2 linked regions of the Schizosaccharomyces pombe genome follow. The protein of the gene in region 2 purifies or fractionates together with the protein of the main gene of each other region. This does not show direct contact. Each region holds a gene or a part of one and is shown on either strand. Other genes may lie near its edges.

Region 1 (6,975 bases), on a different chromosome or scaffold from region 2:
TGAAGTTCAAAGATTTCAACAGCAATGTACGCATAGACTTGGAATATTATGGTAAAGAGTGCAAAGAGAAAAAGCAGATGTGGTTTACCCAATGTCAAACAAGGGAATAGTCAGAAATATTAGAAAAAGAGAGATGGAAAAAGAAAAGATATTGATACCATGAATTAAATGTCTCGACCAACTGGATTTTACACCAATTGTGCTGTCGTGCACGAAATTGGTGGTGGAGCTACCTAAGATTCTACCTTGTACCGAATAACACAATGCGATAGAATACAATACGGCAAGATGACTATTGAAAATGCTAATTACAATTTGGATAAAGAAAAGAGACGCTGACTAAAAATTAATGTAAAACGTTATCTACTAGTTTATGTGCTTTACCATTCTTATCTTTATTTTATATACCGTGTACATTTAGCTCTGCTATCATTATATAACAAATATCAATGACTGCACGTAAATATACATTAGGATTACAAGTTTTAATATGTTAAGTGGTGATTTGCAATCCCTTTGATCACGTTAACTTATTATTATGACGCGCAATTCATTCACGCTAACCTAAGATTATCAAAAAATTATCAGTCCAAAGATTGATCAAGCTTGGTCAAGCTAAATTATGGAGTGTTAGTGACTTGAAGCGATCGTCGAACCTTTCGTCAAATATCAAACGAGGAATGGTTGTAAACATTTTAGACAATAACTTATAAATTGCTATATAGCGTGTCATCAAACCCCCCTAGTGCGTTATTCTACAGGGAAGCAAAGGAAAGAGAAATACAAACGATTTGTTATTAGAAAAGTAATTTGGTAGAAGCTACAAATGTAGGGTAATTTTGAAAGAGAAAAGGAAATGTATTTCATGAAGGGGACGCATTAGAATTTACTATTTCCACCTCATATTCACTCTTAATATCCCAGATGTTTTTGTGACACTTTGAAAACAAGTACTTATTAATTGACTATGTGGTATAAACCCATGGATCAAAAACCATTAGTTAAACAATATTCTTAACGTTTTTGTATCGCAACGTTTTCGTATCGAAACGCTTTAGTATCGCTAATGTCAAAGATGAAAAAATCTAAATTATACGCATGCATATCTTGGCCACCTGTGCTAAAACCGCCTACCGTTTGTCCCAAACGTTTCAATCCCAACTGATAAAAAAAGTGATTTTCTCTTTAACTTAATAAAAATCTAAAGATTTATTTTCCACTCATCCTTTCAAAGGCAATCCGAGCGTTTTGCTATCTCCGTGAAATTTTTTCCTTTTGCCCATCGTGATTGATAATTTTTTGAACATATTCATCAGAATTGTCCATGCACATTCATTTACATCTACAATGATACCTCGATGTTCGTTTTTGCCAACCTTCTGAAGGATGCAAAGTCGCAGATGAAATCATGAGTTTCGTCTATTGTTTCTTTCGATCATCCGAATATCCCCATAGAAAATCGTTTGCCTTGCAAATTGGTATCGGTTGCCGATGGCCAAGTGTACCGACCACATTTTTTATCTATCACCGCTTAGCGAGCTGGATATGGGAAGTTTAGGAAATGTTGCCCGAGCATAGATTGTAATTGAGAAGGTTAAAATCCGCAATCAAAAGTTGGAAATTTGTCGTGCGAGACGAATTATAAAAGGAAAGCGATTTCCTACGAAAACAGCATCTTTTTTTAAAAAACAAAGTATTATCATTCACATTTTGAGGTTTTTGTTTTTTTGTTTCTTTTTTTTCCTGCTTTTGCATAGAACTTAGCAAAAGAGTTTCATTGTAAACATTTGTTTTTATTTTTTATTTTTATTTTTTTAATTTTACTTTCTACTGCCTTAAGTTAAGGTTCTCCTCCATTTAGACTATACTTTTCTATTCAACATGTCTTCTACTGCCACCGTTACTGAAAGCACTCATTTTTTTCCCAATGAGCCTCAAGGCCCTAGCATTAAGACCGAAACTATTCCCGGTCCCAAAGGTAAGGCCGCTGCTGAAGAAATGTCCAAATACCACGACATCAGCGCTGTCAAGTTTCCTGTAGACTATGAAAAGTCCATTGGTAACTATCTTGTCGACTTGGATGGTAACGTTCTCTTGGATGTTTACTCTCAAATCGCTACTATCCCCATTGGCTACAACAATCCTACTCTCCTCAAGGCTGCCAAGTCGGACGAAGTCGCTACCATTTTAATGAACCGTCCTGCTTTGGGAAATTACCCTCCTAAGGAATGGGCTCGTGTCGCTTATGAGGGTGCCATCAAATATGCCCCCAAGGGTCAAAAGTATGTTTACTTTCAAATGAGTGGAAGTGATGCCAACGAGATTGCTTACAAGCTTGCTATGCTTCATCATTTCAACAACAAGCCTAGACCTACTGGTGATTACACTGCTGAAGAGAACGAGAGCTGCTTAAACAACGCTGCTCCTGGATCTCCCGAAGTTGCTGTTCTCTCTTTCCGTCACTCTTTCCACGGACGTCTCTTTGGTTCTCTTTCCACTACTCGCTCCAAGCCTGTTCACAAGCTTGGTATGCCTGCTTTCCCATGGCCTCAAGCTGATTTCCCTGCTTTGAAGTATCCTTTGGAAGAGCACGTCGAAGAGAATGCAAAGGAGGAGCAACGCTGCATTGACCAGGTCGAGCAAATTTTAACTAACCACCATTGCCCTGTCGTTGCCTGTATCATTGAGCCCATTCAATCTGAGGGTGGTGACAACCATGCCTCTCCTGACTTTTTCCACAAGCTTCAAGCTACTTTGAAGAAGCATGATGTCAAGTTTATCGTCGATGAAGTCCAAACTGGTGTCGGCTCTACCGGTACTTTATGGGCTCACGAGCAATGGAATTTACCCTATCCTCCTGACATGGTTACCTTTTCCAAGAAATTCCAGGCTGCCGGTATTTTCTATCATGATTTGGCTCTTCGTCCTCATGCTTATCAGCACTTCAATACTTGGATGGGTGACCCATTCCGTGCTGTTCAATCTAGATATATTCTTCAAGAAATTCAAGACAAGGATCTCCTTAATAACGTCAAGTCTGTTGGCGATTTCTTGTATGCTGGACTTGAAGAGCTTGCTCGTAAGCACCCTGGCAAAATCAACAACCTCCGCGGTAAGGGAAAGGGTACTTTTATCGCTTGGGATTGTGAGTCTCCTGCAGCCCGTGACAAATTCTGTGCTGACATGAGAATTAATGGTGTCAACATTGGTGGCTGTGGTGTAGCTGCTATTCGTCTTCGTCCTATGCTTGTATTCCAAAAGCACCATGCTCAAATCCTTCTCAAGAAGATTGACGAATTGATTTAAATTTTCCCTTTTTTTGTAAAAAAACAGAAAAAAAAAGAAAGATCACACTTTTTGTTCCCATGAACACCTATTCCGCATTTATGTCAACTAAAATTTGGATGGCCGATATTGCTGTTCTGTTTGTTTTGTAGTTTAATATTAGTTAATTTTATCATAATAGTCAAAAATATATGATTTCTATCAGATACAAATTTGTTCGCTGTATGAAGAGAAAAACAAATCGTTCTATCAAACATTGAAATTGTGATATAGTAGCTTAATAGTTAGGACTGATTATATTGCTAGCTATCTTGGCAATGAGAATGAAGTAGTGTTGGAATAAAAGTGACGCCGTAAATGCTAACTAATTAGCAGCAAAAGGTGGAAAAAACAAATTTATAGTTGTTACCCAAGAATTGAGACGATGCTCGGTTGGCAAACCTACTAGAACACATTTGCTTTAATTTCATTAATCTTTAAAAAAATCATTTGCCATGAAAGTGTGCTAGACAAAAAGGGGGAAATGACTGGTGTTAAAAAAACTTATAAAATTCATATCAATAGAATAGGGCCATTACAAAGGAAATAAGAAAACTAAAAAACTGATGAGAGCAATTGGATAGCTCTATAACACTTAATCTAACGTGGATTAATCCTTGAAGGTAGAAAACAAGCCCAGATTCCGGCGAAGCGACTGGCCAAAGTGAAACCCTTTCTCTTGGAGCTTTAAGAATTGGAAAATATGGCGAACAAAAACCCACATCCCTCCGCTTAAAAATGGATATAGAACGTGATCACGAAGAGTAATTAATGCAACTAAAAAGGCAGACCCATTTGCACGCTGAATAGATTGGAGATATGACTGTTGGAATCGCAAGTCCGGTATTGGGGGAGCTGTAGGAACAGTATATTCGACAGCTTCACTGTGATCCGTACCAGAGCTACTAGGAGATATCACTGTTTTTCCCTCGAATATAGTGGGAAGCTCTGCCTCTTCGACGGCAGATTCTGAATCCTCAGTTTCCCAATTACTGCTATCATCTTCTTCTTTACTCTGGAGCAAACTAAGAGAACTTGTTGAGCTCTCTACAGCACCAAGTTCATACTTGTTATGCAACGTTGAGTTCTCAGGAATACTTTCGTTCACGTCTATCTTCTTTAGTTGATTATTGATAATTATAGTGGATGAACTCAAATGTTCCATTCGCAGTGGAGAAGACGCGTATCCTGAATCTCCATGAGCACTTCGAATGCCTGATCTTTGCAAAGCGTCTTGACTGGAGCCTAAGCTGATCAATTCGTAATCTTCTTCCCACGAACTAACGTCGCTGGTTTTGTTAGAATCAGAGCGGGGAATTGGTATTCCTTTGCTTTCAGAAGACATTAATAAAGCTTCTCTAAAATCAATGTCTAATGAACAGAAATGGGTAAGCACAAGAATGATCCCAATTCTTTGTTGTTTACGTTAATATGGATTCCCGATAGCGCCACATCTACGGTGTTGCGCGATAATTGTATTACACAAAACTACGTTAAGGGCACATGTATCTTTTGAATAAGTTAAGCAATAAAGATATAACATTTTAAATGTCAGGATGCTGAAAGCAATAATTAAAGATAATGATATTATTAATTTATTAAATCTAACGGTCAAATTTTCGGTGACTCTAAGGAACGAAATGACTAACGGGTAACTTCGTATGCAAAATTTTAAAACTCATAAAATAAATTCTTTAGTAAACAAAACACCATCGGACAAAACAAATATCAAAAATTAAGAAAAAGTATGCCAACAAGACAAATATGGTAATGTAGCATTTATGACGAAGAAATGAGTGCGGACTTCTTTAACTTTTCAAAATAGGTAGAAAGGGATGTTCTAAAAGTTGCTGGTAACCAAGCACCATTACAAATACATAGCACTTTCAAATTTCGATGGTATGTCAAATCTGGTAATAACTTTGGAGTGACTAAGAAGTATTGTGAAACAGCGTTGTCACACACTGAATTGACGATATGCCTATGCACAACTCGTTCATTTCGAGGATCCATTCCTTGATTTATTTCATCAACTATTCGAAACGGAGCAATTGCCAAACCTTGTAAAGATAATAAATACATTATAGTAGATACAGAACGTTCTCCACCAGATTGTCGTTGACCCGTAAGTTTTTGAAGTCCTTCTTCCTCTCGAAATTGTACTAAAATATCGATATACCATTTATCATAATCGTCGGATTTCCCTAGTCGAACTTCTCCAGCATATCCCATTCCACTCATTCCTTTAGAAAATCTATCGCTAATACATTGAACATTCTCCTCTAACTTACTAACCCAATCCTCTTTGATTGAGTTCATCTCGTCTTGGAGCTCTTCAACGGATTGATCAAAGTCTGACATTTTCGATTCTAGTTCCTCAATTTCTTTTTTACGCGCATCATATTGTTCCATAACGTAACTATTAACATTCATAAACTTCAGTTTCGTTTCTTCGATGCTAATTTTGTTATCCACTTCCGAACTAGTAGCAAATTCTTCATTTAATTCAGTTATTGCCGTTTGTCTGTCAGATGATTGTGTCTGCAATGAATCAACCACTGAACCGTACAAGGACATAGCATCCTCCCTTGCTGAGGCTAACTTATCGGTAATATCTTTAAGACGATCTTGTACTTCTGTCAATCGAGCGTTGACTTGGTTGGCATCCATCTCGTGTTTTTCAAGTTTGTATTTCGCTTCTATGACATTAAGTCTACTTCCCAACATCTTCTCGAAATTATTCGTAGCTTTAATTGAATTCTCCTTAACTTTTAACACCGAATTCATAAGAGCTTCGAAGTTCTCTTTCCTGATATCTTCATTTTTTTCAATTTCAGCTGCAAATTGCTCAGGAACTTTCTCTCTTTGTCTTAGTAGAAGAGTTTGGTGTTCTATTCTTTCTTGTAATTGTTGCCATTCGTGAATAGGAATTAATTTTTCGTCACGCTCTTTTCGTAGAGTAGATAATATATCGTTTGTACGAGAAAGCAGCGATTCGTGCTCATTTACCTTTTCTTGTAACTTTCTTTCCTCATTCTGTAAATTTTCCAATTGAGAGAGTTGAGCATTTAGTTGCTCCTCCTTTCGCTTTACCAAATCCATCTCAACGTTCTCGGAAAAATATATACTGCGAGAAGGTAATGGGTCTGTTCGCCTAGTAATTTCTCTATCACCGTAAGCTGAACGAAAAACCAAGTGGATAGATGAGCCCGCCAAGTAAGTTTTAAGAACTGGATCCCCGTTAGCCAGACGAAAATTGTTTAACGCATTCACTGATGCGGGAGGTAGTTCCCTTTTTGCAATCGGAATTTGATGAATTTTTAACATATGGCACAAAGCAACCAAAACCACTTCTGGCCCCTCTAAAAAATCGATCACATATCCGTCAAACCCGAAAGACTGAAGCTTCTCACGAGAGCATGGAGGTTCAAAATCTTCTATCTTCTTTTTTCGTTCACTGGAGAATTCTCTTATAGTAGGAGTGTACTTAGTTTTTGAAGTGATAAGATCCATTAACTTTAGATAATCATTATAATTTGACATTATAAATGTTCGAAACGTATCCGTGCGAAAAAACCCTTCTATCAAAGCTGCAAACCCTTTTTCCTTACATTTCAAATTCATATAAATTGGGCCGTATGCGGGTGCTTC
Region 2 (4,163 bases):
GCGTTTCCCAGTTAAAAGAAGTGATTTCAGTTAGCTCTTCCCGATCATCCAGCTGATTAGCAATATCAGAAATATTGTACTCGTAAACGCGAAAAGTTGGAAACATTTCAGGTATAATCGAACCACCAACGGTAGCCAAGGAGTAATTCCCGACGGTTCCATTAAGAAACTCCTCTGTTAAATTCTCGGGAAATGTAGGAAGCTCCGCGTATTGGGCATCAATTAAAGATTTTACATATTTTGGTTGCGCACTTTTGATTCCATAAGATTCTGTATCAACAGGTAACTTATCGAATTCCAAAAACACAAAATGGTTTATGTTCATATGACCATAGAGTTGTCCAACTATAATATCTCGAAACTCATAAAGCAAATCCGTAAAAGAAGTATAACAATCTTCATACCACTGGCCCCTTGTAGGGGGAATATGTCCTAGAAGCCAAACTTTCATTCCCTTTAGCCGATACGCTTCAAGCTGTATTTTGAACCATCGCATAAAAAGAGAACCAGGTTCGTCTAGATTATCATCAGGACAACCATCGACCGCGGCATTTTTGTTTGATAGGTAAAGAGTGTTAATGGAAATTGCTGCTAGCTTGTCCGGAATCACATCACATAGGTAATAAGAGCCCTTTTCAAAAGTGTGTCGTTCCTCATAAGGAATTAAAGCATCCCAAGCACCAGCTAGTTGTCGAGTCATTGAAGATGGACCAGCTTCCATAATGTTATGAGGATATATATCATTATTCCCGATAGCGGAAACAATTGGAACGTCAGGAAACGCCTCTATCATTTTATTAACCAAGTCCTCATTTGAAGCAAGAATTTCACTTTGTGTTCTTGGAAAATGGTTATCATTGTCATGCCTAGAATTATCACCAGTCCACAGTATGAAGTCAATGCCTCCCAGAACATCATCTTGATGTTCCTTAAGCCATTCCAATGTCTTATCAATTAATGCTGGTGAAGAATCACATTCATAACCAGGACCAGGAGAGAGGTAACCCACTTTGCTTTTACCCAAGGGAGTATCGTCAGAATTATGATCATAGGAATGACAATAATGATCGACGGTGGATCCTTTTTCGTAATAAATGTCAGGATGCATATCGGTGATATGCAAAAATCTACCAACAAGTGGTTTTCCTTTGCTATTAACTAAATCATTTGTATGCGCTTTATTTCGCATACTCATAGGGTTGCCAAATGCAAAAGAAGCCCATGTCGACTGTACAAAAAGAACAGCAACCGTGATTACAGAGGGACGCATTCTAAAAAGAAGGAAATCGGTATATAAAAGAAAAAAAAACTTTACCTAAGTAGAAAAAAAGAGGACACTTCAGACTAGGACGAAATTTTCCAAAATCTGTAATACAATTTCCCAGGCAATTTCAAAAACAAAAAATGGTGTTTGAAAGATTCAAGGGCTTTTGAACTCAGTACAACTTAAATAAATCAAAATTTCCCAGTAGCCGTTAATGAAATAAGTATTGTTAATCTGTTTGACAAAAAGATCGATCTAAATTAAGATCACGAGCGGGTAGTCATGAACCGAAGTCCTGCAGAGTCAATAGAAGTTGCTTCTGAGCTTTGCAAACCCCAGAGAACACTTAATTTGGGTTTGGACTATTCGATGCTCGTAATGGAAGCAGTTAAAAGATCCGTGATACTCTTCCCTAGTGAAGACGAATGTTGTGTTCACCGCTATATATGTATGATGAAAGATGTCGCATTTTATATTTTGTCAGAGCTTGCATTACGGTATTAGTTACTAACTTAATTTCGTTAAATGAATAAGGAGGAAAGTGTTTTGCTCATTAACCATTGTCCTGACGCCTTAAAGCGTTGACAGCATCTAAGAACGGGACACTCGTAATTTTGATTGGGAATAAAGTATCCTTCCACATATACTTGCCCCATCAACTCAGTTGATTCTTAATAATAGAATTTACGCCAAAAATATTATTCGTGCAATTGCTTTGAAAGTTGATATAAAAACTTCTCTAAAGGAGTTATTTGAAAATTGTGTTGATTACCGGTTGGTTCGTTTCGTTATAGTATTTGTTGGACAAGCAGGATGGAGAAAAATACAGTTACAGTTCCAAAAACCTTGTTTTCACAAGTTATTCATATTTTCAAGTATGCGGCAATTAATTTGGGCCTTCCTTTCTTGAATGGAGTTATGTTGGGATTCGGGGAGATCTTTGCTCATGCATTTATCCACTCTCTTGGTTGGGCTCCAGGTCATACTAGGATTTATTCTATTCAAAGACATCAGTATATTCAAGCCTAAAATGAAGCATAGCTGTGCGAGGAAATTTATCTTTAATATTTGAGGGAAATGGTGTTTGCTTATTCGTGATTTTTTTATTTTTTCATTTTAAGCTGAGGCGAGTATTCATAAAATTTGAGATACTCGAATGCTTAACTCATGTTTCTCTCAGATGTATTATGGTTTCAGCTTTGCACTCTCTTTAATGATCGTTTTCTTTAGTTTTATTGTTTTTATTTTCTTTTCCCACAATATTAAGAGCTTCTTTGGCACAATGCAAAGAATATATATGCTCAAGGGATGGAAAACGAATTAAGCCCAAATGAATTGTGTTTATATTTGCAAAATAACATTTAATTTCCTTTGCATTTAATTTATTTATGATCGTTTTCCTTGAGCTTCCTTCTTCTGTTTTTTAAGTATAATTACTTTTGATTTTATTTATGCCCTTTATATTAACATTATGTGACACGTTATACATCGCTTCTTCGGACCGACAAATTGATTTGAGTAGCATAGTATAGAAAAAGGTGTCAACGAAGATTTATATGAGCTGTGAGACAAGTATCGAAGCTATCATCATTGTTTAAAATTGTTCATTATTTTTACATTACTTTGATTTGAATGACAGTACTACGCTTTTTGTTGTTTTCCTCATCACATCGCTTTTTTAAATAATTGTTATTGTATTCGAACAACGATAGTGCTCTAACTTAATGACTAAAACACGCTTATTTGTAAAGGCGTGTAAGTATTACTATTCTCAGAGCAACAAATCTCAACTGATTATAAATTGATTGCACAGCCCATTGATTCATTAGAATTTTACAGGTTATTTCTGTCGTTGCTCAAGCTTTGAAAAATATACTTTTGAATGATTCTTAAAACTTACATTATCGCATGCTTGGTACACTCGGTTGGCTTTAATGATGTTATAAGACAATTTCAAGTTTGATGATACAAAAAAGGATTCTGATCCTCGAACTGAATCTTCTTGTTTATGCATAAAAAGCAGATACCGACTACTTAAAGTCAGCAAATCTGAAAAAATAAATTATCATTAAATTTTTGTCAAATTTACGAATACTGACTTCACAATTTGCTATATAAACTTGAAGATTTATTGCATTAGCCAACAAGAATACTATATTTCTATTTTCTTCCAAGATGTAGCATGGACAAACCTAAACAGTAGTCGTTCTATATTTTATAGCTATTTAAATAATTAACTATATTACCCATCGCACAGAATTACATAGCATATTATTTAAATCTTGGATATACGCTCTACAAGCATTGCTATACACTTTCAGTGGTTTTTAAAAACATGTATTAACAGGATTCCAAGCAAACTTTAGTACGCATCCAACACAAATAGGAAGTCTACGATCACACAAATTACAGCGATATAGAATTTCGCGAAAAGAATAAACCATTAACTCAAGTAATTTCAAAAGGTTCTTTGTTAACGAATCTGTTTTAAATGTAATAATAAATTTTAATCTATAGCAAATATGTGGACCTTCTGACACTCGCGTACAAGTAGGTTATCTTGTTAGCAAGCTCTTAAAAGATCCATTCATTTATATACGCTCAGTGAATAGCAAATACGAATGCATAGCAAAATACCATGCGGGTAAAAAACCTTCCTATTCGCACTGTCTTGAGCGAGTACGGTAATGTAAAGTGACCATAATACCACTTTATATAGCAAAAAAATACTGTTACTTCAATAGTGACTATGAAAAAAAGCAGTCGCTAGATGAACTAAGTCACAATAATATATTGATCGATTAAAAACTCATTAGTATAGGCATAGTCAAAGCTAGTTGAGTCTTTTAATAAACCGGATTATTTAATCCGTTTGAAGTTGTAAAGAACTGTAAGCGTT

The links.
Region 1: the proteins of mim1 (region 2) and atg43 purify together in Schizosaccharomyces pombe (affinity purification with western blotting; one study listed by BioGRID). This does not show direct contact.

What each region holds. Positions count from the first base shown.
Region 1 is NC_003424.3:5,221,303-5,228,277, forward strand, and holds atg43 (mitophagy receptor Atg43), read right to left. Parts: upstream 4,748-6,975; 5' UTR 4,670-4,747; coding exon 3,935-4,669; 3' UTR 3,307-3,934; coding exon of another isoform or gene 1,882-3,306; 3' UTR 501-1,881; downstream 1-500. Other genes in the region: SPOM_SPAC19D5.10C (uncharacterized protein), read right to left, coding at 85-339, 409-417; uga1 (4-aminobutyrate aminotransferase (GABA transaminase)), read left to right, coding at 1,882-3,306; Smc5-6 complex SMC P-loop ATPase subunit Smc5, read right to left, coding at 5,104-6,975. UniProt on the Schizosaccharomyces pombe protein: Mitophagy receptor that tethers atg8 to the mitochondrial outer membrane to promote selective autophagy.
Region 2 is NC_003423.3:880,383-884,545, forward strand, and holds mim1 (MIM complex subunit Mim1), read left to right. Parts: upstream 1-2,077; coding exon 2,078-2,293; 3' UTR 2,294-3,533; downstream 3,534-4,163. Other genes in the region: SPOM_SPBC713.07C (polyphosphatase), read right to left, coding at 1-1,270. UniProt on the Schizosaccharomyces pombe protein: Component of the mitochondrial outer import machinery (MIM) complex that mediates transport of proteins into mitochondrial compartments. Promotes the insertion of tom70 into the outer mitochondrial membrane.